4 linked regions of the Astyanax mexicanus genome follow. The protein of the gene in region 2 purifies or fractionates together with the protein of the main gene of each other region. This does not show direct contact. Links are inferred from orthologs where the notes say so. Each region holds a gene or a part of one and is shown on either strand. Other genes may lie near its edges. The genes, in order: llgl1, sqstm1, hadhb and ripk1l.

Region 1 (7,642 bases), on a different chromosome or scaffold from region 2:
TTCAATATATTTGCATTGTAAACATTAGAATACATTCATTTTCAATGGGCATATATGCAGCTGAAACAGGGAGCCTAGTGCATCCTAGTGCTTTTGTCCTTAATGTTATTTTTTCCCGCCTTACATTACTTTTACACTTTAAGTAGTTTTAAAACCAGTACTTTTACTTGAGTAAAAAGCTTTAGTTGATACTTATTTTTAAACCCCAGGATCTATACTCCTACCCGAGTGATCAAGGTCAATAAACATAAATGCAATCTTAATCCTAGAAAATTGACAGTGACCAGATTACTACAGAATTACCATTAAATGGTGACATACACACTACTTTTTTATAGACTTGCTTATATATAGTTACAGGATTCACACCAATATGTTATTCACCTCCTTTGGAGGCTGTAATTTAGTACAATTTTAAAGAACTCCCACTGAGACCCAGCCAGGCTAAAATATAGCCTCTGTGTGACAGCTGAGACTTCCAATGAAACCGGTGTTATACTCCAAGCTCCATATGTTAAACAATAAAAGGTCAAAATACGATGACTATTTACTTAAAAAGTACACAAAAAAACTTTCACTTTGAGCCACATGTACTGATTAATAATGCTGGTTCTCCTCTCAGAAAAGAGTTTTTTTGGCTGAATATTGTATACAATATTGTGTAAGGTTAGAGAAAAACCCTGATCAGAACATGTCTAAATTGTAAAACTCATTAATGCAGATTAAAATAAACATTTTACACAGAGAAATAATTAGATAAAAAAAACACTACTTATACTCCATATATTTAGAAAAGAAGCCAAAGTCATTACTCAAAGGATATCAGAGCCCACCTCCTCATGCCTGAGGTGAAAAGAATTGTCTTATCTTAATGAAGATGTTACTTGTCTCATTACATAACAGTTCAACAAATCTTACCATCTCCTGCCTCTGAGAAGCGAGTTCAACTCAGGTGGGAGAATTTACTGCCAGGCAGATGTCCTAGACTTCTCACCACTGTGTAGACACTTTATTGGACTCCAGATTTTGGTATTTAAAGTCTACAGTTTTTTCAAATTAAGAGTGTAAGCATACTCTGTTAACTTTAGTCACCTCCAATTTTACCAACTCTCACATTGTCAGGGAAGTGAGACCCAGACAGAACTAGTGGAAGACCACAGGATAAGTTTGGAATTGTTTTCAGAGAATCTGGATAAGAGAATTTTACAGAAACATCACAGGCCACACTCCACTGCATATGCTGTTTATATGACCTCATTCAGAGTTGAAAAAGAGAGAGAGAAACAAAAGGATATAACCAGAATCTGTTTGACAGTTTTATACTGTCAGAGACGGACAGCAGTAAAACAGCAGCAGTGTGGTGCAGCAAATGTTAAGATTGTTTAGTGGGAGGAGCAAATGGAATGCATTGTTTTTTTAGGAATTTTAGACAATAACGGTTACAGAAACATATCCCACATTTCTCCTTATTGTGTACACTCTTTCTATAAACTGTTATATAGTTAGCAAAGAGAAAGTGTGGTGCAACCACAGTTACACAGTCAGAGACAGACATCACCCAGACAGCACTAGTTAAATGAGTGCAGCCAAATATGTTATTGTTTACTGGGAAAACTGAAGGAGAGGTTTGGAATTATTTTAAAAAAAGAGCACATCTGTGGTAATTTTCCCCAATTTCATCAAAGTTTTCACAGTCAAAGAAACAGCAATAGCTAGTGTGGTGTGACAAATGTTTGTGGTTGTTTACTGGTAAGATTATGGGAGTTTGGGTGTTTTTAGGCATTTTTGTACAGGCCATTCATGCAAAGGTTGTATGGTTGATTCATGCAATTGTTTGTTTTGCCAGTTTTACCAATGTTTTTACACTGCTAGACAAAAAAACAAATACAGAAAAGAGCTAATTTGTTTGTAAGAATGTCTGGGCTGCTTTTTAAGATGTTTTAAACTAGTTTTAAACTCCCACACCTTGCTCCATTGTGTACTGGGAAGAGCAGAAGATATGTTTGAATTGTTCTTTAGTAACTGGGGACAAGAATTTGGAATGTGCAACAAAAATAGGTTGCAATATCACACAGTTTACTGAAATAAGCGTTAGTGCAAAGTTGATTCATGCAACTGCTTATTGTTTTTGCCATTTTATCAATGCTAAAAACAAACACAAATATAGAAAAGAGCTTTTTGGCAGAATAAGCTTGGGCTGTTTTTGAGATGTTTTAAATTAGAAATGGTACATAAACACATCCCACACCTCTCTACATTGTTTTCTGGGAAGAGCAGAAGGTATGTTTGTAGACATATCTTTAGTTTTTTTAAGTGATTGCGGACAATAAACGTTGCAGAAACACATACCAGACCTGTGTACACTCTCTGTATGTATCATCATATAGGAGTTCCAAAGCTGAAAGCATAAAAATGCTTTGTTAACATTGGTAACTAACTAGTTTAGCCAATTTTACTAATGTTTTTAGACTACTAGAGACAAAGAAGACAAATATAACCTAGTCATCAAACCAAGCTGAACTGCTTGGATTTGTGCACCAAGGAGCGGCTTAAAAAAACAGTAGTGTGCAAGCAGTGTGCAAGACTGGTGGAGGAAAACATGCCAAGATGCATTAAAACTGTGATTAAAAAGCAGGGTTATTCCATTAAGTATTGATTTCTGAACTCTTAAAACTTTATGAATATGAACTTGTATTCTTTGCATTATTTGAGGTCTGCATCCTAATTATCCTTAATTATTTTTTTCCAGAGGTGTTGAAAGGTTTTGAATTAGAAATTGTACAAACAAACATCCCACACATCTCACTAATGTTTACTGGGAAAAACAGACGATATGTTTGGATTGTTTTATAGTGACTGTGAACAGTCGTGTTAAATAAACATCCCAGACCTGTGTAGACTCCTAGAGACAAACAACAGAAAAAATGTCCTAGAAAAAGCGTGGATTAGCCAAATTTGAGATTATCAGTAGCTGTGTTTTTAAGGAAATAGTGGATAGTTAATATGTTTTTTTTTTAATTCTGGAGACTAAATGTCTCATTTATAAGAAAGCACATTAAACTGTGGTGCAGGACAGAGCAGCAGCACTGCATTACAGCAGAAGCAGCAGCAGCAGCAGCTTCAGCTAACTTTTTCCGTTGAGTGGTTGAGTTTTAACACGCAGCTCTGATGAGCCGCAGCTGAGCGGGCAGCCGCTGCTCCCCGCAGAACCCCGCGGTTAAACTGCCCGCTGCCCCCGAATCACACCCACCTTATTAAACGCGAAGAGGTCCTGCTTAATCTTCTCCCTCTGGGGGTCGTTCCCCTGCCGCCTGAACCGAAACTTCATCATCCTGAAGCCGAACACAGCGTCCCCAAACCCCGCGGCGTCTCTCTCTGTCTCTCAACTCCCGCACCGTTTAAACTGACGCTAAATAAACGGACAGCGTGCCTCGCGTAGCTCCGCGTCTCCCTCCGCCTCCGCTTCTCACCGCCCGCCCACAGCCTGCTCCTGTCGTTCAACCACAGGGCAAGTTCACAGGAATCACGGCCGCAGCAGCCAATCACAGCCCGGGAAACCGCGACCAAGCCTCTAAACCACGCCCCCAGCCTCACTGCGCACCCAAAACCCGGAGCGGATTCCGCGGACCGGAGCGCTGCTGCCGCGGACTGTAATCAGCAGCCAATTTCCCAGCGTCCAATCAGAAGCGCCGCTGAGAGCAGACCGTTTAAGCACGCTCCACATGCAGGGCTTCAGAAGACCAGACCAAATACTTACTAAAAACCTAAAATAATCCATTTAAAACATTTCCCAAAATTTGATAAAGCATTATTTAATTTTAATAAAAGTATCCATCTATTTATAAATTTGATTCAATTTCGAATTAATTTAATAATTCAATCTTTTTCTCAATTAAATAAATAATCCCCTTGTTACAAAAATCTAAATCTGGAAAAAATGTAAATTTTTCACTTTATATTATTCTCTTGATTGTATTAAATTTATTACACTCCCCTAATTTAAAAGACAGGTACCACAATCTAACAAATCTTTCACTACTTATATTCACTAATCATTCCATCAATAAAAATGTATTATAATATAATAAATTATTCCCTTTATTTGAATAATTATTTACCATAAGTTATTACATGATTCCCTTGATTTAAACATCTGTTATCACGGTTTGAAACATGAAATCCCCACAAATTCCCTCAATTTAAGAAATTTCTCCCTTGTTTCTGCCTTAAAAAAAACAATTTTGGAAACATAATGAAGGAAGGAAATAGTGAATATTTGAAAATAACAAATGTTAGAAAACAACATTGAATTTATTGAATCGACACATTTTATGGCCTTATATAAAGCATGCATAGTATGAATTCAGTATTTTGGATTCCTCATACATTGCCTTATAATTTGCAAGTGAGTTTAATTTGCAGTATTATTCCTTTCTATTATGCAGTATTTTGATTGTCCTGAAATAAGTTTTGAGCTCAAACTAAATATCTTTAGTGATGTTTAATAATGAGTAGGATATATCAAATAAATCACACGGAGGCTTTCACGTTTTGTTCAATTATAAAAAAAATAATTTGAAAAACTAGATTTATTTTTGTATTCAGATACAACATGTGAAAATGACACACAAATACATTATGTACATATTCACAGAAGTGCAAATGATTTCAGAAACAGCAGCAAAACATGGCATATCCTGACAAATCATAGACATTCTTTATAGACGGGCGATTCTACCTTGTGTTCCACAGTGAAAGTGGAATCAGGGCCTGTGGGGGCATATCGAAGCATATTCTTCAGGGTGTGAGGTAGTGGTAATACGATTTAAATTAGCAACAAGGCTAAAAATCGGTCAAATCATTCTAACAATATTTATCATTGAAAGTGGAAATATAATGTGTGTGAGTGTTTTTGTCTGAAGGCTAATTAAAGCAAAGTGATCTCGCTGGGAGGCAGAGTGAGTCTCTTCTCTCGCACTGACAGCATGTTCTCCATGTGCATGGCGATGACACGGCATAGTTCCAGACTCTGAAAAGTAACAAACACACACACACATCACACATATGCAAAAATCACTCCAATAAATCCAAAAGTTGGTACTAAATGCTAAAGTATTTAATTGCAGACAGTATAAACTCAATATTTGTAGGACCCTATCTTATACCCTGTTCATTGCTATCTTACACCCTACCAACAGTCTATTTTCATGCCTCGCACCTGCATTGTTTAAATAGCAACAGTGTGTGTGAATATATCCAATAAGGAAATATGGTGTGTGTTTAGGTAAATTTCTGCCATATTGCTACCTTGGCAACAAAAAACACAGGTGCACCACTGACTGAAAACAACCTAAGCAGACATCAACCATCAGACACAAGCACGTGCCCAACACACTTGTTACGCACAAATGGACACGCAGCAGTTAAAAGACCCATAGCACATGCCTGTTGGCAGCTATGCAAACTTTTACCTCAACAATAAACAGAATGAACGCCCAAAACACACCCATTATTAATTAAGAGGATAAGTACATGCCTTTGGCGTGTTTTAAGCCTCGCAGTGCATACTTTTCCTGTGGTTACAATAGCAAAGTCATATTGCACGCCTTAAATCAAGCTGCACGGGGTGTGGGGATGACTTCTCACCTAAAGATTTTTAAAATAGAGCCCTTAATGTTTTGTCTGCTCAGTTTATTTCATGTGCTAATATACAACACATTTCAAAAGAAGTTGGGATGGAGGCAGCGTATGGTTAAAAAAAATAATAATGATGTTATTTTAAAAAGGTGATGTCAACAGCTGATTATAATCATGATTTGACTCAGACTTTGATGAGCAAAGATGAGGAGAGGATCTCCAGTTTATCAACAAGCGCAAGAGAAACATATTGAAATGTATAAAGACGGGGCACCGAGTGGTCCAGCGGTCTAAAACTGTCTGCATCAAACGAAAGTCAAAGCAAATGTACAAAAACTCCCAGTCATGTCTGATTTGTCTTTGCATATTTTGGAATTAAGCCAGCCCAAACCACATCATGAAAGATCACAACATCCCAATTATGTTATTCTCCTTCATGTACACATACAGTACAGAGCATACCTGGTCTAAATGCAGCTGTGTGATGCGCTGAGACATCAGATCTCCCAGCATTATCTCCACATAAGGGTAACAGGAGCCGGCTGTAGGCCTCTGAGTGCGGCTGGACTGCACCTCTTTCAGGGGGAATTTCAATATCGGCTCCTGCAGAGCAAATAATCGATCAAGTTCATCAGTTCATCAGGTCTATCTTCTTTATCTCAATATAAAGATACATGTGTTCATGATCTGCTCAGTTTACTTACATGTGTTTCTTTGTTCAGGAAGTTCAGTCCGTTCTGATTGACAGCCAGAATGCAGGGGCAGTCAATGGAGCTGTTGCTGCTGCTCTGAATGTAGAAGAAGGAGGATCCAAACATGGGGAAGGCACTTACGAGCCCTGTAATACCAAAATATAAAGCAGTGGTCATAAATACAGTATACACCATAGACACTTACAGTATTGATTACGTTTTGAGCATCGAAGCTCCTTACCCAGGAATTGGGCTCTGGCTTGATGGGGGCTGAGGGCCTGGATCTGCTGCATGTGTTGGGTTACCATGTTCAGCCACTGCTGGGGGCGCTGCAGCACACACAGCTGGACAGGAATGCACTCCTGGACCTCAAGGCTTGAATGTACAGATAAACATAGTTTATAATTTTAGCTATTAATCCAATTGAAAAAAAACTTAAAATAAAAGATTAAAAATAAAGATTTTAGAAATTCATAATTTTGTTAAAAGTTCTGAAAAGATCAACTTGTCCGATAATCATGTCATTATGTGAATATAACACAAGAAAACAAAACTGACACTTTGAAGATAAAGACCAAATTAATAGTTATAAAAGCTATTGGAGCAGGAACGACCCATTCAGAGCAGAGCGCTAGCAGAACTAATAAAATCTTTTTCTGAAAATGTAATGAATTTAACTCTATCATTTCTGAAATCCAGGACTGGAATCTGGAATCAAGCTCTAGAATTGAACATGATCTAGAAAAAACATGATCTAGAAAAAGGTCTGGTAAAATGTAAGGCGAGTGACTGTTGAATTACAGGGAAGGAAGATAGGCAGAGTCCTTGGCACGATGTTGCAGGGCGGCCAATTTTGCCACCTGCTGAAACTGCTGCTCACTTGCTTTCCCCTGCGGAACAACATTCAGCAGTCCTTTTAAGTAGTCAGGGGCAACCTGCAATATGAGACACATGAAAAAGTACAAATTCTGTGACAAAAGCTCATCCAATAAGTACAGCAATGCATCATCCAACCTGTTACTGAGGTATAAACAGAAATATTAAAGTGACAGTGTGCAAGTCTTTTCCTAGTAACCAGGAAAAGTTGCTATAGCCAGAAAAAATCCTTGGGATCTACAAGACACCCTGTCTTTAAAATAAATATATTATATACTGCAGGAATGGTAGCAGAACACACTGATGCCATTTACAGTATTATAATATGTTGCCCTCTCTGAACTAAGGGACAGTACTGTTTTTAATTCAAAATAATGAAAAGGTGCTGCTTTAAGAGAAAACAGGTACCTGGTTGTAATGCATGGTGACTCCAAGTT
Region 2 (7,324 bases):
CATTTTGGGCCTGGTCATCCTGCATGTTTTCCTCCTGGGAGCTGGGCTGAGTTCCAGATGGACCTGGTTGAGGCTGGTTTTGGTTCTGGTTTTGAGCCTGGGCCTGGGCCTGGGCCTGAGCACCAGCCCACATGCAGTGCCTCATCTTGCGCCAAAACTTCCCACCACGTGGGAACCACTGAGTGAGAAAAAGGAGTTGTTGAGTTTTTAATAAACAGATAAGTAGAGGGAAAAAACAACCAACCAACTGCCAATAAAAAGTATCTCCTTAAATGTAAGGTTACCTCAAACATGTTGGCCATGGGATGGAAAATGGGCAGGAGAGGATGTTCCTTGTGGAGGCCCTTGGCCTGGCAGGTGGAGCAAAGGTCATAATCTGGGCACAAAGTGCACTTGAAGCGAGTTCCAGCCACTTGGCCCTCACATCCATCACAGGTCACACCAGGGTGAATCATGGGGGGAGCTTGGTGTGGAGGTGGGCCCATATGTGGAGGTGGTCCATTTGGAGGTGGTCCATGGGGCCCACCATGATGTCCTCCGTGATGTCCTCCATGATGTCCCCCATGATGTTCGCCATGATGTCCACCATGATGGTGCCCAGGTGGCCCCATGTGATGTGGTCCTGGAGGATGGCCAAAGGAAAACCCTGGAAACCCATGTGGAGAGAAGTCACGCTTGTGCTCCTTTTTTTCTGAAAAAACAAAAAAACAAAAAAAAAAACAGGTTATTATTAAGAAGGTTATTAACTGTGAAAAAAGGATTAAAACTGGTTTTATGCTTTAGGTTTTAGGTCTGATCAGATGATATCAAGCATTTCCACAGATTCTCACACTGAATGTTTGCCAAAATGTTCTTAATAAAATCTTTATGTAAGATTCACAAACAACCGTTTGCATTCTTATGCAACTTACCCTTAATGAAGAGACGGAAGGTGTCTTCCTTCACCAGAGTCAATCCCATCATGAGCTCATCATCAGTGGAGAAGGCAATCATGTCACCATCCTCATCTGAAGGACAAGAGAAAAGCGGAAATGAGTTTCTAATATTTTTCTAATTATTAAACAAACTTTAATATTACCTGAATAAATATAAAACTTAAATTATAATTTTATTTATTAAAGGAAAAAACTATTCAAACCATTTTAGCCTTTCGTGATTTTTTTTTTACCCCTAAGCCTAATAACTTTGTTGCACTACCCTTGGCGGTAACAACTGCAATCAAGCTTTACTGATAACTTGCAATGAGTCTTTCACATCTCTGTGTAAAAGACTGAATTAAATTAAATTATTTTAATTCAGCCTCATTGGAGGGTTTTCGAGCATGAACAGCCTGTATAATATCATGCCACAGCATCTTAATCAGATATTGACTAGACCACTCCAAAACCTTCATTTTGTTTTGTTTTTTTTAGAGACTTTCAGGGGTGGACTTGTTTGTGTGCTTCAGGTTATTGTCCTGCTGCAGAACCAAGGTACGCCTGAGCTTGAGGTCATGAACAGTTGGCTGTACATTCTCATTCAGGACTGTCTAGTAAACAACAGAATTCCTGGTTCCATCTGTTACAGCAAGTTTTCCGGGTTCTGAAGGAGCAAAGCAGCCCCAGACCATCATACTACCACCACCATGTTTTACATTCAGGATGATGTTTTTTACTAAAATTATGTGTTAGTTTTACGCCATTTGTAGAGGGATACAAACCTTCCAAAAAGTTCCACTTTTGTCTCATCAGTGCAAAGAACATTTGTCCAAAGTCTCCAAGATGTTTTTTGAAAAATGTGAGACGGGCTGTTCTTTTTGGTCAGCAGTGTATTTTGCCTTGGAACTCTTCCATGGGTACAACTTTCGACCAGTCTCTTTCTCATTATTATATCATTAATACTGATCTAATTGAGGGAAGTGAGACCTGCACTTCTTTATATGTTGTTTTAGGTTATTTTGTGACCTCCTGGATGAGTTGTCCATGCCATTTTGCAATAATTTCGGTCTGCCGGCCACTCCTGGGAAGGTTCAGTGTTCTTAATTCTACAGGTCTGGCAATAATCACGCCTGGTTGTGGATAGTGAAATTGAACTCAGCTTTCCAAAGTGTGATTAATCAGTTAATTTATGGGGGACAAACACTTTTTTTTACAAAGGGCTAGATTGGTTTGGATAGTTTGTTTGATATAAAAATTTGATCATCTGAAAAATGTAAGTATGACAAAAATTCAAAAGAAATCTGTAAGAGGGCAAATACTGCCACTGTACATATATGTATAAATGTATGTATGTATATATATATCATGAAAATATGCTGAAATGCTGTAAAACATCTCATTTAGAGATTTAAACACAAAACTCTGTTTGAGCTTAATTAGGTGTATTTCCATTACAAGGGTGGAGTCGACACACAACCAGAAACAATGAAGGAAAACAAGTCTGAGCAGCTGAACCTGTGTTGATATAATATGCTGATGAACATGAACATGAACTAGCTAACCTAGCTTACTGTCTGTTTCTTTATACTGAAGTTAGAATATTAGCTATCTAAAAACCTTAAAACACATTATAATTATACTGTAAACTTAATTATAGCTTACTGTCATTACATATATACTATATATATATATATATATATATATATATATATATATATATATATATATATACACATACAGCAGGGGGCACTTCAGTTATATATATACACAAAATAAACTTGTTTAAGGTATAGTTTTATAACCAGACCAAAGTCATAATGTCATAGTGTAATAGTGAAAAGAGGCTATAGCTCAGATTTAACCAGATTACACGATGCCCATTAGCTAACCTCGCTAAGTAACTAAGAATTAGTTACAGTGTAATAAGGTGGTATTAAGGCCTCGGTTGGCCGGTTAATAAATAACCCATTCAGGTTAAAGTCCCATTAAACCAAACACTGGAGGAAGGAGCCCAGCCTGTGTAACCCCACACTATTATAACTTTATCTAGTTAAAGAGATTATTTCTGTATTAAAGTCCTAACTTACCTTTGTAGTACATTTGGAATGTGGCATTCCGGAGGTTGGTAAAAACATCCACCACTTTGCGGCTCAGGTACTCGAAACTTGTCGACACGTCCTGGTCGACGGCGAAGCGCCGAATCTCCCTGTGGCTGTCCTCCTTCCCCAGGAGGTAAGCTTTGACGGTCATCGACATTTTCGCGTCTTTTTCTCCCGCGACACAAACTGCTGCGGATCAAGAAGTCGGGCTGTGGGGTTTGTTGCGCAGCAGAAATTCACTTCCCTTTAAATCAGCAGTCAGCTGAGCGTCACGCCTCCTGCAGCCGCGGCTCCTCTCCGATCCTGCCCTCCCGCTCAGCCGCAGCTTTTATACCGCCCAGCCGCCCAATCGGAAACACGGCCTGGGTCCTGGGGGGCGGGGCTAAGTGCTTCTTGACAGGCGGACAAAGCTCACGGCGTGTTATTGTGATCAGAGGCAGTACAACAGCGCGGGGTGGGGGGGGGGGGGGTGGGCGGGGCCAAGCACAGGGGGGATGTTAAAGGCCGAGGAATGACACAGCACTTTCCACCCGGGGATTTCCCCCTGATATCACCACCGAGGACATGTCTCTGTCACTGTGCATACAGCGCCTTTTTAACCTAAAATCAGTTAAACTAAAGTAAAACTAATTTTACTACCAACACTTCAAATTACAAAACCCTGTAATGCTATTTTTACTAGTAGAATCGTTCAGAGTTAAAGATTCATCTATAAAATGTTTGTTAGTAATAATATCAGACCCATTAATTTATAAAACCATTCTAACTAGTCACAGCACAACATATCCTTATAACATAAACTATTTCTTACTAATGTGTCAAAATGGAGAAAATCAGGTACACCATTAGAGGCTCGCTGAGCACCTAAGAAAATGTGGGAACCGTTCTTTGTATATGTGAGGACCTTACAATCCTTTGTTATTCCTGAGTAACTGTTGAATATTTATTGTATGATTGTGTTTTTCTATCTATTATGTTATTTATGTTTCTTTTTTTAGTATTCTTTTTTTCAGCGTACCTTTTTTGTATTTTTCCCTCTATTTTTGCTTAGACTTATTTGATTGGATTGGATTTTGTTCTGCATTATTACATGAAAAAAATAATAAATAAACCTGGAAAAAATATTTCTGACTAGTATAAATGCTAATTCATGTACATTTGATAAGTATAAATATTTATTTAAGAAATGTTTGGTTTTAGATCTCTATAAATACAGTATTTGCACTATAAGGCACACCAGATTACAAGGCGCACTATTGATGAACGTCTGTTTTCTGATCTATTTTCATACATAAGGCGTACCGTTTTATAAGGTGCATTATGCAACACTAGGGAGAAACAGGGGTGTCGCCACGTTTTCCTTCTAATTCTACGGGTCTTGCCGCTGCGGGTGGTGGTGGCGGGGTAGCTAAAGTAAACAGCAAGCCAAACATTTCACATCAATAATTTACAACATGTAACTATATTACATTATGGAAATGTTATACTTGTAATATGACTAATTATTCATCTTTAAATATGATAATATAACTGATATCTACTGATACTAAAGCAGCTTCTAAGGACACCTGATTGTTAGTGTCTGTCTGAATTACAAGGGCAATAGACACAAACTAATTTCATGTTTCATGGGAAACAGTCTTGAAAAACATGACAGCATTGGCCAAACAAACTGCGTCAGCAAAAAGCAAAGATCCCTTGCAGAGATAGAAGGACATTTAACAGGAATGAACAACACCACAAACCTAAGGCCTTAGAGTTTACCACATTATTGAATGAACACATCTTCCAGCCACACAGTCATAACCACTATAAGCTTCAGAAAGCTGAAAATGACAGCAGCGCTGCTGCTTTGTATTCAAGGCCAGGACACAGACAGCTGTAGGTATAACCTGGTGTAATGTATTAGAATATGTTGTGATTTAATAACATGGTGTAATTTAACAGCTTTTCCAACATTTGGGCATGTGCACTAATTAACTTAGACCTCCAGTATTAACAGCAGTCATTTGGTTTGGCATTAACCCAGCCTGTGTGATCTGTGCTTGTTTGGTTTGGTTGTTCTAGATTATTCTGGTTTAATCCACCTTTCAATGCTGATGCAATCACCCTGTTTAAAGTGAAATACTGTGTGATTTGTTCAGTATTAGATCAACATAGCCATTTCCAACCTGTGCTCTCCTAAAGCTCTCATTCATGCAAGATGATATGTGTGAAGTGCTGTGTCACAATGACTAGCACAAATAGTAACACACCTGTAGAGTAACATATGCTGCTGGGTAGGATTTCTGTAACCAGATTTAACCAAAACAAGTTCAAACAAGTTGTGTGTGTGTAGGAAGGTTAGTTACAAAAGTATTTGGACACTTTTCCAAATAATTAATACACTGAAGTAAACAAAATGCCACAGTGATGCCGTCCATCATGAAACTAAAGTATCCAACAATTTGTCAAAGCTTCTCCATTATTACGTGATTGTGATGTAAACAAAGCCATGGGAAGTTTGGTGGGAAATGCAAAGTTCTAAAAAAAACTACCCACTCTGATTAACTCACTGTGGTGGGCACTTTTCATGTTTTTAAACAATGTTTTATAGAAGGAATTACACAATATTGATATGAATATGTTTATTTGTGACAACAGATAGGTGTGATTCTACAAACACATCTTTATCTGTTTTTGCATCTGATGAAAACACTCTTTGCTTTCTTAAGAACAATCAAAAGAACCTTCACTTGATATAAAAATTCCGAAACAATTTAAAGGTTCTTCACAGTAAAGAGTTGTAACAAAAAACTAGATGAATAAAGATTACAATAGAGATGTGTGACTGTGCAAAACCTTTTATAGAACTTCGTGTAACGTTTCCTACCAGTTTAAAGGTTCTTAATAAAATAGCTCTTATGGCTGGGGTATTTAATTAAACTTCAAAAATGATGAGTGACAGCACTCATCATAACACACACATTTTATTAGCTGAGCAGATGCATGAAATTCTGTAGGTTAAATTGTGTTCTAAAATGCTCTTTTTTTAAATAGTAACTGGAACAGTGACCCTCAGAACATTCTGTAATTCACATGCGCTGAAACACAAGTGGGCTGACTTGATTGTTCATCTAGGTTATGCAATTGTGTGAGAAGGATTAAATTCCAAGCTTTTGGAAACTGCTAAAGCTTTGTTTAGGTTTCCCCAAAGACATTTAATCTAATATACTGGTCTTGTGGTAAATCAGAGGGTTTACTGTCAGTAGCAGATTAATGAAAACAGTGTCTGGGGCCACTGAGATAGAAACACGGTGATAAAGGTATGAACCAAAATACTGACAGTTTCCAAAGCACAGTAAAAACAGATTAAAATAAACTGTGATTATGACTCTTTCTGTGACCTTTCTGTTAAATATAACCGCATACCAAACCTAGATGGGGATGTTCCAAACCTCAGTGTCGCAACTATTTCATTCGACTCACTCTTTCCTAAGATTCCTAAAGAGGCCACACACACACACACACACACGAATTTGCAGTACATTGTTTGATTTTAAGTTAATCTAGCAAAGCAAAAGTGTGAGCTATAAAATACATCTGGTCAATTTTGTATGTATTTATGTAAAAAATTATTTAATAATTTATTATTTTACTCACAAAAGTAAGTAAGCAAGCCCCTCACATTTTTTGTAAGTATTTCATTATATCATTTTATGGGACAACACTGAAGATGTGGAACTAACAATATTAATATGAAGTACACAATGTACAGCAAACACTGAGTACAGTGTGCATTGTACAAACCCGGTGGTAGGGTAGCTTGTTAACTAGCCTCCTGGCCAGCAGAGGGGATGTTTTTCTGATTGACCAGCTGGTCTGAGTGTGAGTGTAAAGAACCTTTATTAAACTATTAAAATCATTGCACTAAGTTATAGTTATATAGACCTTTAAAACATTATTTACACTGACACAGAAAAGAAGAGAAAGTTAATTGTCTTGATTAAGGGCCCCAATGTGACTGCTTAGCATATTTAAATATTTAATCCACAACCTTGTTTAAGATCCCACAATCTCACAAGTCACCACATCCCTAGTGTTTGTTGTAGTACTTTTTGTGTTTAATCAAAGTTTTATTTTCATATTAGCTCTATAGGTATTAGCGAGTTTGTAAATTTGTGCTTGTAAACATCTACCAAATTCACATTCATTGTATATCTTCTGTCTTAGTATAAGAAAGATTAGAATCTAAGAATATTATACAAGCTGTATATTTTAGGATATATGTTATATTATACTACTCTATGATATAAAAACACAATAATA
Region 3 (8,166 bases), on a different chromosome or scaffold from region 2:
CACAGAATTTCTGGTAAGAGAAGCTTCCACTTAACATTGTCATCTGAGTGTAGAGAATGAATGGGTTTTTGTGCAAAAATCCTACACGTGTTTCTATTCAGAAAAATGCACAACACGGGAGAGAGGAAAATAATTTAACACTGATATTATCGAAAGCTTGTCAACTCCTGTTAGAGGCCTTTTTAAATTAGACCTGTTTAATTCCCAACAGACAAGCAACACTCAGTAGAAGCAGTGCTTGGATTTACTGCACTGTAAAATAAACCGGTGTGTTTATTGTATTTAATTGTTTTTATTGTATTTAATTTTAATTGCATTATGCTATTTATGTCAAAAAGCAGCTTTACATGGCTGAGGGTATACTAGACAAATGATTTAATACACCAGCAGCATTTAGAAATCTGAAAAAAAAAATTCACAAATGAATGAATGACACAGATGTATAACATGCAACACATTCAACAGACCAGGCAAGAACATAGACGTTTTACAAGTATTAAGTAAGAGAGTATGACATAAAAATATTATGAAATGATTATACGTTTATGAAAGAAGCCTTATGTTTTTAAAGTTCTAGGCTTAATTTCAGGGCTTGAAATATTCCCAAAATTTATTTCATACTATATTACTTCATTTAGGTCCCCATGCTAAGATTCTGATACCAATATGTACAGTATAAAAGCCACTGTCCATGGTGTACATAATGGCATGCTGATACTGAGTGATATGGTAAAAATATTATATCCCATTCCCCGTTATCCCGTCTCCCTCCACCCATCCTCACACTCTTCTATAGAGGGACCATTGAGAGCATCCTGAGCAGCTGCATCACTGCCTGGTTTGGGACCTGCACCGTCTCTGACTGCAAGACCCTCCAGCGTATTGTGAGGACAGCTGAGAGGATCATCGGCGTCTCTCTCACCTCCATCACGGACATTTACACCACCCGCAGCATCCGCAAAGCAACCAGCATTGTGAATGACCCCACCCATCCCTCACACAAACTGTTCTCCCTCCTGCCTTCGGGAAAAAGGTACCGCAGCATCCGGTCCAGCACGACCAGATTCTGCAACAGCTTCTACCCCCAAGCCATCAGACTCCTCAACTGCAGAGACTGAACTGATGTTTTTTCTGTACATGCACACACACTCTTACCCCACTTACCCCAGAAAATGGAAAGCACTAAAAACCCTACTACCTCACTGGACTCTATTGCACACTGTGCAATAGAGGTAATTACTACCTCACTGGTCTTTTTGCACACTTTTTGCACACTGCATAATTTGTACACTGTCTTGTTATTTATTATTCTGTCTGTATTGTGTTGTATTGTCTGTCTGCACTTTTGTACTGTTGCACTATTGTTTTGTCTACACTGTGTTTATGTGCACCATGGTCCCTGGAGGAACGTTGTTTCGTTTCACTGTGTACTCTGTATATAGCTGAAATGACAATAAAAACCACTTTGACTTTGACACACAGTATTTATCATCAAGTTTAAATAAGGAGAAAAAAAACATCAGCAGTGTCAGATTCTGCTATTATGCTATTTAAATACTATTTAATAATTTGCACAGTGATTATTAAATTTTTGTGGCACACCATGTAATTAAACACTCTCTGTAATTAAATTGGTTAGTTAGGTCAGGGTCCTGTAGGCCCTGATGGTACATTTGATATGATCGCAGTCCACTGAAAAACATGCATCTCCAAAACGGCAACTTTACAGAACAGCAACAAAATGTAAGTAAATGAAATAAAAAGTGTTTATTTCAAGTCTTTTATAAATGTTGCCAGTTCGCCTGTTAAACTTATTTAGCAAACTAAAAATCAACAAAAATGGAGCTTCTCGTTTTTCATTGGACAGCAAAAGCAGTGTCCTCACGATATAAATGATGGTAAATTATATAATTATACAATAAAAATATTGATATATTGCTAAACTCTATGTACAATATGTTACATATATAAATCCACAAAATAGTTTCGTTTATATTTTGCCTCGATTTTTGCGCTTTTCATTTGCGATGGTAGAAAAAACGTAACGATGCTACAGTATCTACTGTAGCGAACAGAAAGAAACCAGGCCGACACAGAATTAGACCACGCCTCTTCAACAGGGTGACCACGCCCACTATACTAAGGGTCCGTCAGGATGGCCTCCTCTAGCGTGGGTTCAGATCCCATACATGACAGGCTTTACTGTGTCATTGCGGTCAGCCTGGTCAAGGTTGTAAAGCTGTGAATTCAACACGGTCACTCACTCTTCTTTAATATATAGTCATATATTATTACATTAAATTACATTATTATATTAAAATAATGCTATAGACAACTTCACCAAGCACCATGTATGCTAACATACAGTGTAGCGAAAACGGCGTCAGTGCTCTTAATTCACCTTCAACATGACACTTAATAAACAAATGTCAATGCCAATGTCACTCTTTTCTGCTATAATCACACTATTACAGTCCACTGTGTTTGTTTTTTTGTTTGTTTGTTCAAAATAATGAATCTACAGTAATTTATGAGGAGGTATTGAAGGTAGCATTATATATCCTCTTATGTAAACATTTTAGTAATAAATGCGTGTCTATCAGAATAACAAACCTGCGATCAGCTGATTAATCACACTTTACAGTGTCTCAGGTGTGTAAAAGTCATATGCAAGACTTCTGATTTCATTCTGGTAACGTGCCCTGATTAGCTGAATTATAAACAGCTCGGTGACCCTTCACCTACTTCTTCAGCCGGCACAAGGGCAGGCTGCACACACTGCTAACTATCTCACTCTCACACACTAATTGTGCAAAACTACAAACTGCACTGCCCTGTCTACCAAACACACTAAACACAAATACTTTAACAGGCTTATTTACAATAAATAAAATAGTGAGACCATTAAAAACAGCAGGATTTGAGCTTACCGCAGCTAGCCAGCAAGACACCACACTGACAGTGAAATCAGCCAGCCCGCACTGCGCATGTGCACAAACACTCTCAAGCGTTCAGTATCTCTCTGTGTATGTGTGTGTTATTATGTTATTATAGCCAGTGAATGCAGATAATCTGTGTGTGTATGAAGGAGCGTTACCTGCGCAGATCCTGCTGTATGATGAACCCGAAGCCGCGGGACTCTTCCTGGGACTGGACCAAGATGACAAACGACTACAAAAAATGTGCAGCTCGAAAGACCTTAAAAGTTTCGTAGTAGCCCTGAAATCTGCCTGCACTAAATTGTCTTAAAACTATTAAACACAAAAAAACTAATCTGCATACACATATAAAACCAAATGCACTGAGCCGTATATATTCATGTGCACGTGTTTCAGTTGTCAGTGCTTTTAAAAAGTGACTTTAGCTACGCAATCTGAGAAATGGAATGCAGCTTGGGTCCTTAACGCACCGGTTTCCCCTCCCTCGCGCTTCCGTTTCACGGTTTGTGTGCTGGGGGGGTGCGCGTGTGTGAGTGCGTGATTGTGCGCGTGCGTCTGTCTGTCTCTCAGCGTCTGTGAAGCGGAGCTCCGGAGGCGATGGCGAGCGTACGGGCGGCGGGCACACTGATCAGATCTGCGGCCAGCAGATACCCTCATTTCTCCGGTAGGTGCAGCAGATCAGACTCAGACTCTGGGTTTTGTAGTTTTTTATAGTGAAATCAGCTCAATAGCGAAAAGCTGCAGTGCGTGTAGCGTCCTTACGCGACCCTGCGAGCCTCACAGGCGGATGAACTTTCACCTACTTCTGCTGGGAGGGTGACCGATGGGGGGGAATGATCAAGTGCATGACCAGAAGACCACCTTACACACCACCCCAGTGTACCAAAGAGTTGAGAATGTCAGTGTGTGTTATGTAATAAGGCATGCTATTAATTTGTGAAGTAGATTAGTTATATGTGCATTGCATTGAGTGAGTTTAGTTATAGAAGAATGAGTGAAATCAGAGCTGCTCCTTTAAACTAATTTTCCCCTTTGTTTTTCTTCATCTACAGTCAAGAATAGAAGGAAATGGCACAAAAATCAGTGTACACATTTTTTGCAGTAAACTGACAAGGCCTTGAAGGAAAGCAAATGAACTAAACACTGAAAAAAACATTTTATTATTGTAGAAAAAAGAGTATTGTAAAAAGGAATGATTTTAACAACTGAAAACTGTCATTACCTTTTGGAGAAATCTGATATAAAACCCTATATTTTAAAAATTGCACTAAATCACAGATTAGAGGTGGGCAATATGGCTTAATATAATATCACAATATTTCATTGTATTTTCACGATGGCGATACTCTTGGTGATATGTCAAAACACTGAATTTAAAAAATATATATATATATTTAAAAATATACGTACTTCAGCAATATAATATAATACAATATAATATGGCACACCCCTAACTGCGATAATAAAAAATACAAGAATTTTATCAGATTTGTAAAATAAGTCAATGACCAGAACATCATGATCATTAATGCACTTGAAATATCTCCATATATCCAGGAATGAAGTAAAATGAATGATACTGGACAGATATAATCTGTCTCTAGTAGATATATAATGGTAAATGAGAACAGTGTGAATTTTTATTTTGCTAAAAGCAGCAAAAAAAGTAGGACCCTGATGTGATAATTAGCGGTGGGCGATATGGCACAATATTTTAGGATGTAATATCGTTCACATTCACAATATTCAAAAATGTTGGTGATATTATTGCGTACCATAAGATACTATATGACACACCCATATCACAGATAGATATTGTAATGTCAGATTTTAAATAGGCTCTGGTAATGCTGCAACCTGGAACACGGAGTATCATTTTTTTTAGATCGGCCTAGTGACCCAGTGGTCTACAGTTAAGGTCACTGCACTTTTATTCTGAATAAAGTTTCCATAATTAGCTTACAGCTTATGAGTAGCAATAAAAATAAATTGAGCTTTGGAAATTGATTTGAAAAACTTGTCAATTTACAAAGCTTTTATCTGTAGTAAAGCAGTGCTGGAACAGATTTTGTTATTGCACTCTCTACTGCAGCATTTACACACTAGAAACACTAGAAGCACACGGCACATAACTACAGTAGAAAAAGACACACACAGATAACTCTGTAACTGTGTAAATAGGATTAAAAGGATCTTGACATGACAATACTGTTGTTTATTGCAATTATTTGTGCATGCATGTAGTCACAGTTATAAAGAATTTTTCAATATCCTTTTAATTGTTGTTTTTTACTGTTTGAAATGATTTCATGGCAGTGACGTCATATCAAACAAATGTTACCTTTTAGCTGCTTGATACAAAAGACGATACAAAAAAATCACACTGCTCTCTCATCATTTTTTTGACTCCAATTTTGGATACATGGAATAAATTGTTAATATTGTAACAATCAGGGACTTCTGGAGAAATCTGATATAAAATCCTGTTTTTCAAAATAGCAATTAATACAGAAAAAAATATATATTGCAAAGTGAGATATTAAATGGGCTCTGGTATGATTTTGTAGGTTGGCCTAGTGACCCAAACATTCCCCCAAAGTTTCCATATATGGTACCTGAGTGAATGATGTCCCAAACCATATTTACACCCAAGTCCTGGTGACGCTAGTCGTCTTGTCACTCCCTGTTTAGAGTACTTTTTCCACATGCACTCATACACACGCTCTCTCACAGAGGGTGTGTATGGTGGCATTACCTCTTGTGACCGGGTCAGGTGAAGGAGAAACAGAACTGGGCTGCAGGTCATGCTGCATCAGTAACTGTATCTGTATTTAGGTCAGAGTCATTATTGATTAATAAGGGATGTTAAACTGTTTTGATTAAGGTTAGGGTCATACATGATTTCTTTTGATTTTAATTGCATGATTCTGTGGCTTTAGCTCAGTCTAGTACTAAATATTAAAGAGTTACAATTGACCAAGGTCAGTAAAAGTGACCCTCAAAGTTTTGTTGGTAAAGTAGCTATAGATATAATAGCTGTATATTGGGACAGTTTTTAAGCTTTCTTATTAGAAGAAAATATCTTAAGTGATTAATTTCTGTAATACTGAAGATTTTTCTGGTTTCACAGCTCTGCAAAAACCTTTTTTCTTGTCACGATCATTACATTATTGACTTATCATTCACTAAATGGACATGCCCTCAATAATATTTGATAATTGTGATATCATCTATTGTGTTTAATTGTATGTTTGTTCACATATATAACAGTGAACAGTATTTTAGCCAGTTATGTAATATCCAATGTTTTAATAACCCCATACACACAGTGTGTACTGCAAAAAGTATGTATTTTCCAAACTATAATAAATTACAAATTTGTTGTCTTTAAAAGGGAACGAAGTTGTGCTTTAAGCTTTTCTGTTTTTTAGAGCTGGGTAATATGCCCTAAAAATCTATTTTTTTTTCACCAATAAAAGAAAATCAGTTTTTTGATTTTAACTAAAAAAATTTCCCTATTAAAAAGAGACAGACACTGGATTATACTGCAGAATGTGAGCAGTAATGAAGCAGTAAACAGGTCACAGAAAGTTGTAATGAAAGAAACATTCAAGGAGCACTATTTATTGTTTTCCACAAATAATCACGGATCCTCACCGGAGGAGGGCCACTCTGAACTATAGAAGCCCAGAAGGGAGCATAGGTAGCAGAAGTCTAAACAGAGAAAATCAGTTTTCATAAAAACGCATCGTCCTTAACTGTAAATTTTAATTAATTCATAAAATTGATTTTTTTTATTATCATTATGTCAGTGGCATGTAATTGGGCTTAAAATGACAATAATATCGTTTATCACAATAATTACTGGGGCGATTAAATCGTCCACAAAAAAATATCATTTTGACGGGCCACACACGAGAGAATAAACCTGTCCTGTTTAAATGTTTGTCCAAATATCACCCTAAAATTACCAATCTTAAGTAAACATCTTTAAACTGGTTTTTGACTGCATGTTTTACTCACACTTTTATTCATGATCACATGTTTTTTCAGTGTTGTGTGAACTAAAGATGTGATTTAGATGAAGTAATCTGAGTTTATATAAACATTACATAAAATAGTAAGCTAGAGAATGTGTTAAGCTTTTCAGGCTGTATCTACAGTCTTTAGGTTCAGTATTTTTCTTTAAGCTGAGGGCTCTGTTCACTTGTGCAAATATATATTTTTTTTGTTTAGTGAATGGACGCCGGAACTTCTCTGCATCATCAGCTCTGCTGGGTAATTATTAGCATAAGTGTTTTAAACCATCAACACACATTATTAATTTTATGATCCCTGCTTTTGGCGTATAATCCTGTACATATCTGTGATCTTTTTTTCAGCTCGCACCTATGTCAACTATGAGCTCAAAGATGACGTTGCAGTCATCAAGATCAACGACCCTTCAGGCCGGGTCAGTAACTCCAACACACTGTTCTGTCTTTCTAAGGGAAATTAGTTTTATTGTGATGTGATGTGATGTCATTTTCACTTTCATACTGCACACTTATTTTTTTTTAAGGCTGAGTGTTATGAAATGGACTTTTATCATATCAGCAAATTGTCAGCAAATATTCACTTTTTCTTTCGCAAAAATCAGTGTTGTTCAAAGGTGCAAGCAAACGTTTAGGCACCCTATAAATATGTTGCTGTGAATATTTAGGAAAATAGAAGATAAACTAGTCTATAAAAATGTTTACTAAAAAGTAAAAGTTTGGAGAGGAAAATAGACTTTTGGATGGCAGCTTTTATCAATGTCTACGACCTTAATTACATTGCTATGCCTATGGTTTGTTCTTAACAACCATTAGCAATTATTGTATTACTATCTTCAAATTCTGTAATCCTGGATCAGGCTGCTTTTGGGCCCTTTTCCCTTTCAGATTCATAAAATAATTTAGTTTAAACTCTTTTCATCTTTTACTCTCTTATCTGTTTTTTTAAAAGACACTTTAAGCAGGGGTGTTCAGACGGGTGTTTTGCATGCTTTTGTAGGTTTTATACTGATAGTAGGGTTGGGCGATGTCTCCTTAATTGGCAGATGACGATGTTTACAGTGAAACATCGCGATGGACAATGATAGAGTTGGGGGGGGGGTTAAAAATAATTAATATAAAATAAAAACTCATTTACAACAATATTTGATTAAATTTACAGGTCCTCACTCATTTTAATTTATTTAACTAAA
Region 4 (8,201 bases), on a different chromosome or scaffold from region 2:
GAACACCTTCCTAAAGAACACCAACCCAATAACACTCACTCATTTCGAGGTGGTCCCGTGTACACGGTCTTCTGCACCACCTGGCCCAGGGTTTTGTGGTAGCACAGGTAAACCTCTCCAAAGCCTCCATAGTCCAGCCGCTTCTTCCTGATCAAGTCCGAGGACTTCATGTAAATGTCCAAGCTCGATCCTGTAGCCATGCTGTGGCTGTTTAAGATAAGATTACAAGATAAAAATGTATTATCGTCCTGAAACTGTTCAAAATATTAAACTAATGCACATATTCTTTTTTTATAGTGTTCATATTCTGTATCTATCTATAACACTAGCCCACCTGAGGAGTTGTGTAACCTGACACCACTGAGGAAGTGATTTACACTGCTAACACACACAGCACAAAGACCCTCTAAACCAACTTTAGGAGTGTCCTAACACTTCCGACACAAACAAATCTCCACCAAAAGCCTTCTAAACCAACTTTAGTAATATACTAACACTTCTGACACAGACAAACCTCCACAAAACACCAACAGTATAAACCAAACGCCTTCTAAACCAACTTTAGTAATATACTAACACTTCTGACACAATCAATACTCCACCAAACACCGACTAACACATATCCAACAACCAGGACCAGTATCACACGACCAAGCCTCCACAAAACACCTACTAACACAAGCCACAACAACTAAGGACTCTTTAACCAACACAAACACCTTCGGAACCAACTTCAGACATGTCCTAACATTTCTGACAAGACCTTACTTCCACCAAACACTTATTACCACAGCCTAATGCCTAAAACCAACACGTAACACCTACTGAACCAATTTTAGCTATGTCCTAAGACTTCTGACACTGCAAACAACTCCACCTAACACCAACTAACACATCCTCCAACACCTAAACACAACAGCAAAACTTGAACTGAATCGACTTTAGAAATGTCCTAAAACTTTTGACACTGCCAAAACCTCTATCAAACACCTAAATTCAACACCAAAACCATCTGAACCAACTTTAGGAATGTCCTTACACTTCTGACACTGAACAAACCTTCAAAACACAAAACACAAACATGAACAATATCTGAACACTTCTTGACACAATCAAACCTCCACCAAACACCTACTAACACAAACCAAACACCTTCGTAATCAACTTAATATTAATATCCTAACACCTTTGACACAACCAAACCTCCACAAAACACTTACTAACACACACTCAACAACCAGCACCTGTACTAAGACCCTCTAAATTACGTTTATTAACATCTTAACACTTCTGACACAACCAAACCTTCACAAAACACCAACTAGCACACATCCCAACACCTAAAACCAGCATCACAACCTTCTGAACCAACTTAATAGTAATATCCTAACACTTCTGACACAACCAACCTCCACAAAACACCTACTAACACAAACCAAACGCTTTAACCAACTTAATTGTAATATCCTAACACTTTTGACACATCCAAACCTTCACAAAACACCAACATACACACACCCATCAACCAGCACCAGTACCAAAACCATCTAAATTACCGTTATTAATATCCTAACACTTCTGACACAGCCAAACCTCCACAAAATACCAACAGTATAAACCAAACGCCTTCTAAACCAACTTTAGCAATGTAGCAAAGCAACTTTTACTATTTCTGACAAAAAACTCCACCAAACCTCTATCAAACACCAGCTAACACCTTGCCCCTGGAACCAACACCAGCTACACCACATTTAGTAATATCCTAACACTTCTGACAGAAACCAACCTCCACCAAACACCTACTAACCAAACGTCTTCTGAAGCAACTTTAGTAATATTCTAACACAACCAAACCTTCACAAAACACCAACTAACACACATCCTGACACCTAAAACCAACCTCAACAGCCTCTGAACCTACTTTAGGAATATCCTAACACTTCTGACATGAACAAACCTCCACAAAACACCAACTAACACATCCAACAACCAGCACTAATACTAAGACCCTCTAAATCACCTTTACTAACATTCTAACACTTCTGACACACCCAAACCTTCCCAAAACACCAACTAGCACACATCCCAACACCTAAAACAAGCATCGCAACCTTCTGAACCAACCTAATAGTAATATACTAACACTTTTGACACATCCAAACCTCCACCAAACACCAGCAACACAAACCATACACCTTCTAAACCAACTTGCAATGTAGCAAAGCAACTTTTACTACTGACACAAAAAACCTCCACCAAACCTCTATCAAACACTTGCTAACACCTTGCTCCTAGAACCAACACCAGCTAAACCAAAATTAGTAATATCCTAAAACTTTTGACACAACCAAACCTCACCATCACACACTTAACAACCAGCCACAGTACTAAGACCCTCTAAATTACGTTTACTAACATCCTAACACTTCTGACACAACCAACCCTTCACAAAACACCAACCAACACAAACCAAATGCCTTCTAAACCAACTTTAGTAACATCCTAACACTTCTGACACAACCAAACCTTCACAAAACACCAACCAACACAAACCAAATGCCTTCTAAACCAACTTTAGTAACATCCTAACACTTCTGACACAACCAAACCTTCACAAAACACCAACCAACACAAACCAAATGCCTTCTAAACCAACTTTAGTAACATCCTAACACTTCTGACACAACCAAACCTTCCCAAAACACCAACTAGCACACATCCCAACACCTAAAACCAGCATCACAACCTTCTGAACCAACTTAATAGTAATATCCTAACACTTTTGACACAACCAAACCTCCACAAAACACCTAAAATCAACACCAAAACAACTTAAGAAACACGTTTTACTAACACAGCACAACCACAACCAGCACCAGCCCCAGTACCACTCTAAAACACTTCCAGTAATGTCCTAACACGTCTGACACTGCCAAACCTCCACCACACATCTCCTAACACACCCAGTATCTACAATCTACAGATGAATCAGTGTTACTGTGTACAGAGAGCAGTAAGTTACCGGGCTGAAGATCTGAATGTAGCTGTGGATCTTCAGTAACTCCAGCTGAAGCTCATGTTCTCCTGCTGCTGCTCCTCCGGCCGGGTGTTCAGTAGTAAAATCTCGGTATATAATCAGCATAAAGTGTAAAATAATAATAATAATAATAATCAGACTGTGTGTTTCACTCACCCTGATCTACATTCCTCTGAGTTCCTGAGGAAGCTGTGTGTGTGTGTGTGTTCCGGGTTCACACACACACACACTGCAGAACTGAAAGTAAGAAAAACCCCCTTCAGACCAAACTAATCACCACCAGAGACCAGACTAGTGCTTCACACACTCACACACCTACAGTACAATAATAATAATAATAATAATAATAATAATAATAATAATAATAATAATAATAATAATAATAATAATAATAATAATAACTAGAAAGGGAAACTTTGAGTTGGCTTGGAAAAATGCCAAAAAGTCCAAAAATTATTTTGCTGAAATTGTGGAATTCTAATAATTTTGTCGGATATATTAGTTTCCAAAAACATTAGTTAAAAGCTAAAGTCCAAAAACGTTTGACTAAACTTTGGCTAATTAAGCAGTGTCCAAAAACAGTAAGCTAAACTTTGGCTAATAGAGCAGTGTCAAAAACATTTGGCTAAATGCTAAAGTCCAAAAAACCTTTGACTAAATGCTAAAGTCCAAAAACCTTTGGCTGAATTCTAAAGTCCAAAATCCTTCGGCTAAATGCTAAAGTCCAAAAACCTTTGGCTAAATGCTAAAGTCCAAAAACCTCTGGCTGAATTCTAAAGTCCAAAATCCTTTGGCTAAATGCTAAAGTCCAAAAATCTTTGGCTAAATGCTAAAGTCTAAAATCCTTTGGCTAAATGCTAAAGTCCAAAAACCTTTGGCTAAATGCTAAAGTCCAAAAACCTTTGGCTAAATGCTAAAGTCCAAAAACATTTGGCTGAATTCTAAAGTCCAAAATCCTTTGGCTAAATGCTAAAGTCCAAAAATCTTTGGCTAAATGCTAAAGTCTAAAAACCTTTGGCTAAATGCTAAAGTCTAAAAACCTTTGGCTAAATGCTAAAGTCTAAAAACCTTTGGCTAAATGCTAAAGTCCAAAAACCTTTGGCTAAATGCTAAAGTCCAAAAACCTTTGGCTAAATGCTAAAGTCCAAAAACATTTGGCTAAATGCTAAAGTCCAAAAACCTTTGGCTAAATGCTAAAGTCCAAAAAACCTTTGGCTAAATGCTAAAGTCCAAAAAACCTTTGGCTAAATGCTAAAGTCCAAAAACCTTTGGCTAAATGCTAAAGTCCAAAAACCTTTGGCTAAATGCTAAAGTCCAAAAAACCTTTGGCTAAATGCTAAAGTCCAAAAACCTTTGGCTAAATGCTAAAGTCCAAAAACCTTTGGCTAAATGCTAAAGTCCAAAAACATTTGGCTAAATGCTAAAGTCCAAAAACCTTTGGCTAAATGCTAAAGTCCAAAAACCTTTGGCTAAATGCTAAAGTCAAAAAACCTTTGGCTAAATGCTAAAGTCCAAAAACCTTTGGCTAAATGCTAAAGTCCAAAAACCTTTGGCTAAATGCTAAAGTCCAAAAACCTTTGGCTAAATGCTAAAGTCCAAAAAACCTTTGGCTAAATGCTAAAGTCCAAAAACCTTTGGCTAAATGCTAAAGTCCAAAAACCTTTGGCTAAATGCTAAAGTCCAAAAACATTTGGCTAAATGCTAAAGTCCAAAAACCTTTGGCTAAATGCTAAAGTCCAAAAACCTTTGGCTAAATGCTAAAGTCCAAAAACCTTTGGCTAAATGCTAAAGTCCAAAAACATTTGGCTAAATGCTAAAGTCCAAAAACCTTTGGCTAAATGCTAAAGTCCAAAAACATTTGGCTAAATGCTAAAGTCCAAAAACCTTTGGCTAAATGCTAAAGTCCAAAAAACCTTTGGCTAAATGCTAAAGTCCAAAAACCTTTGGCTAAATGCTAAAGTCCAAAAACCTTTGGCTAAATGCTAAAGTCCAAAATCCTTTGGCTAAATGCTAAAGTCCAAAATCCTTTGGCTAAATGTTGGACAGGCAATACTTTTGGTTAGCTGTTAGTCCAACAATGTTTGGTTAAATGCTAAAGTCCAAAACCTTTGGCTGAAATGGTGGGGTGTTAATACTTATGTCTCATACAGAATATAGAATATATAGCAGTGTCCAAAAACGTTTGGCTATGTGCTAAACTATGGCTAAAAGAGCACTTTACCAAATCGAAAAACCTCTGGAATATAATCAAGAGGAAGATGGATGATGACAAGCCATCAAACCAAACTGAACTGATTGAATTTTTGCATCAGGAGTAGCATAAAGTTATCCAAAAGCAGTGTGTAAGACTGGTGGAAGAGAACATGCCAAATGCATGAAAAAAATAACAACAACTGTGATTAAAAACCAGGGTTATTCAACAAAAAAACTTTATGGATATGAACTTGTTTTTGTTTTTTTTGCATTATTATATTTGAGGTCTAAAAACTGTGCATCTTTTTTTTTTTGTTTTTTCAGACATTTCTCATTTTCTGCAAATAAATGGTCTAAATTACAATATTTTTATTTGGAATTTGGGAGAATTGTTGTCTGTAGACACTGAAGTGGTCTCTTATTTTTTCCAGAGCCGTATTTAAGCATTTGTACTTTATTACTTAAAACCTCTGCATTTTGAATTAGGATTGTTTCTGGCTGGTTATGCTCGACTGTGTGATAATCTATAATCTTAAACCATTTATTATTTTTTTTATAAATAGCCATTTTGTTTTATAACAACTGTCATATAGTTTGTGCGTCTCTTTAAAAATGCGTTTAGCCTAACAAGGTAACAAAACTACATATCCCACAATGCCTGAGCTGTACGCATGCGCAGTTGCGTTTTGGTGACAGCGCAAGGGCAACTCTAGTGTAATCAGACGCGGAGTAATCAAACTGCCCCAGTGTGAGCAGCGCAGAGGAGCGGAGCGGACATGGGGAACGGGATTAATAAGGTAAAACAGCGCTCTGACAGCGGTCAGCGCGCGCGCGCGCGCGTGTGTGTGTGTGTGTGTGTGTGTGTGTGTGTGTGTGTGTGTGTGTGTGTGTGTGTGTGTATAGGGGGTGAATCAGAGGAAAGTTATCAGTGTGTGAAGTGTGTTAGTGGATCAGAGTGAATGTAGGCAGGTTTACTGCTTTATTTCAGTGTTTTTCTCTGTATTAATGTGAATATTTATTATTTATTTATTTATTCTGTGTTTTTTTCTGATAAAACACCCACACTGGTGGTCCTGAGTGGGCAGAGGGGTCTCACTCACTCCCTGCCTTCACCCACCAGTACACTGAGAGAGAGAGAGAGAGAGAAAAGAGAGAGAGGGAGCATGATGTACTCACTACTCATATTAATGTCATCAGGATGAGTTTCAGTGTGCTCACACACCAGTTATGCTAGCATGCCAAAAGTCATGGGACAGCATTTAACCCTCTGTGGCATTGTATTGGTCTCAATGGACCTTGGCATGGTGTTGCCCGCTGAGACAAACACTGGCCAATGTGCTCATGGCAAGGCGACATGCATTATCAAAGTTCTAGTGAGGTCTGATATATATATTCAGAATATCTCATTTCTGTGTTCTGGAACTGGTTCTGTTCAAGATTATAAGAAACTTGTCAGTAACCCAGCCCACGTTTGCACCAGTTTTAGTAAAACTGTTTTAATGGATACGTCAGAGAATACGTAATCAGCAGAGGGAGTTGCACACAGTGGCTCTCGGTTTGCACTGAAGATCCTGCTATTCTTTGGTTCCAGAACAGAGCCTGATCCACATTGGTGGAAAAGGTCCAATAGTGGGTGTCAGATGGACGGGACGTTCCATTGCCAAAGTTTTGTGAACATACGTAGCTACTTTTGTCTAACAATATACAATATTACTCCAGAATTAATTGCTAAGTAGCATTCAAAATACAATGTATCATTTCAAATAGCAATTCGTTAAAATAGCAACTATTAAAATATATATATATATATATATATATATATATATATATATATATATATATATATATATATATATATATAAATCCTAAATAAATTAGATATAAATCCAGTGAAAAGGTCTGTTCATTTTAATGGGCTCCCTCTGCTGAGAAAAGCATAATGGACAACATAGATGTCATAAAAAAAGAAAATGTATGGCAAGTCGTTAATGTAACCAAAATACTGAAAACTGTATTTTATATTTTACATGATTGTAAAAAATCTTATGAACAGTTTGTAGCATTTACCTTAATACTGCCAAAGGAATTAGACTTTTCAGCTTTTCAGACAGGGCTTCCCCACTTGCATGCAGACTCTCATTCACTCTTGGCATAACGAGCAAGCTGATTGGCTCATTTTCTCGAGGGGTGGATTTTATTTTATGTAATGATCGTCACCATTGGCATTTGGCTTGAACAGTGTATACGGACTCAAATCACGTCCATATTTAATATAGGAGGCTCCACACACAAATCACAGATATCCATAGTGTTCATTAACTTCCATTGGACATGGAAGCTTAATTAAAGCAAATTAAAGCAAATTAAAGCAGCAGATTGCATGCGTTGGAAGGGGTGTCCACAAACATTTGGACAAATAGAGAGCGAGATACAGAGAGTACCACTGTAGTTCACAAATCTAAAAATACTCACCTGACACATACATATGTACACACACGTGCACACACACTTTAACACACACACACACACACATACATTCCAGGCCTGGCCTCCTTCTCTTTCCCACACAGCAGAGCTGGTCTGCCTTTCCAAAAAGCCTGTATTGAAGAAGATGAGGCAGCCTGGTCTGCTGAGCTGTAACAGTGCATCTATTTATGTTTTTTGAGCATGAACACAGATTATGTTTAAAAAACTTTGCCAATCCAAAACCTTCATTTAGTTTTTTCAAGCCATTCTGGTGTGAACTTGCTGGTATATTTAGGGTCATTGTCATGCTGCAGAACCCAAGTACGCCTGAGCTTGAGGTCACAAACAGATGGCCAGACATTCTCCTTTAGCATTATCTGATAAACAGCAGAATTTATGGTTTTATCGATTACTGCAGGTTGTCCAGACCCTGAAGCAGCAAAATAGCCCCAGACCATCACACTACCACCACCATGTTTTAACATTCAGTATTCTTTTTCTGAAA

What was found.
Region 1: the proteins of sqstm1 (region 2) and llgl1 purify together in Homo sapiens (affinity purification with mass spectrometry; 3 studies listed by BioGRID and IntAct, with this or other methods). This does not show direct contact. The link is inferred for Astyanax mexicanus from reciprocal best matches to the Homo sapiens genes SQSTM1 and LLGL1.
Region 3: the proteins of sqstm1 (region 2) and hadhb purify together in Homo sapiens (affinity purification with mass spectrometry; 3 studies listed by BioGRID and IntAct, with this or other methods). This does not show direct contact. The link is inferred for Astyanax mexicanus from reciprocal best matches to the Homo sapiens genes SQSTM1 and HADHB.
Region 4: the proteins of sqstm1 (region 2) and ripk1l purify together in Homo sapiens (affinity purification with western blotting; 3 studies listed by BioGRID and IntAct, with this or other methods). This does not show direct contact. The link is inferred for Astyanax mexicanus from reciprocal best matches to the Homo sapiens genes SQSTM1 and RIPK1.

Annotation. Positions count from the first base shown.
Region 1 is NC_064410.1:54,047,988-54,055,629, forward strand, and holds the start of llgl1 (lethal(2) giant larvae protein homolog 1), read right to left. Parts: upstream 3,473-7,642; 5' UTR 3,332-3,472; coding exon 3,251-3,331; intron 1-3,250. Other genes in the region: myo15aa (unconventional myosin-XV), read right to left, coding at 4,928-5,029, 6,100-6,240, 6,342-6,475, 6,571-6,704, 7,131-7,264, 7,614-7,642. UniProt on the Homo sapiens protein: Cortical cytoskeleton protein found in a complex involved in maintaining cell polarity and epithelial integrity. Involved in the regulation of mitotic spindle orientation, proliferation, differentiation and tissue organization of neuroepithelial cells.
Region 2 is NC_064417.1:17,977,856-17,985,179, forward strand, and holds the start of sqstm1 (sequestosome-1), read right to left. Parts: upstream 3,332-7,324; 5' UTR 3,174-3,331; coding exon 3,005-3,173; intron 1,008-3,004; coding exon 912-1,007; intron 692-911; coding exon 285-691; intron 179-284; coding exon 1-178. UniProt on the Homo sapiens protein: Molecular adapter required for selective macroautophagy (aggrephagy) by acting as a bridge between polyubiquitinated proteins and autophagosomes.
Region 3 is NC_064408.1:42,744,696-42,752,861, forward strand, and holds the start of hadhb (trifunctional enzyme subunit beta, mitochondrial), read right to left. Parts: upstream 3,311-8,166; 5' UTR 3,098-3,310; intron 3,024-3,097; exon of another isoform or gene 2,931-3,023; intron 1-2,930. Other genes in the region: hadhaa (hydroxyacyl-CoA dehydrogenase trifunctional multienzyme complex subunit alpha a), read left to right, coding at 3,537-3,603, 7,176-7,217, 7,322-7,392. UniProt on the Homo sapiens protein: Mitochondrial trifunctional enzyme catalyzes the last three of the four reactions of the mitochondrial beta-oxidation pathway.
Region 4 is NC_064415.1:8,725,689-8,733,889, forward strand, and holds the start of ripk1l (receptor-interacting serine/threonine-protein kinase 1), read right to left. Parts: upstream 3,262-8,201; 5' UTR 3,023-3,261; intron 2,503-3,022; exon of another isoform or gene 1,533-2,502; intron 1,245-1,532; exon of another isoform or gene 335-1,244; intron 208-334; 5' UTR 201-207; coding exon 40-200; intron 1-39. Other genes in the region: dusp22b (dual specificity protein phosphatase 22-B), read left to right, coding at 6,007-6,027. UniProt on the Homo sapiens protein: Serine-threonine kinase which is a key regulator of TNF-mediated apoptosis, necroptosis and inflammatory pathways.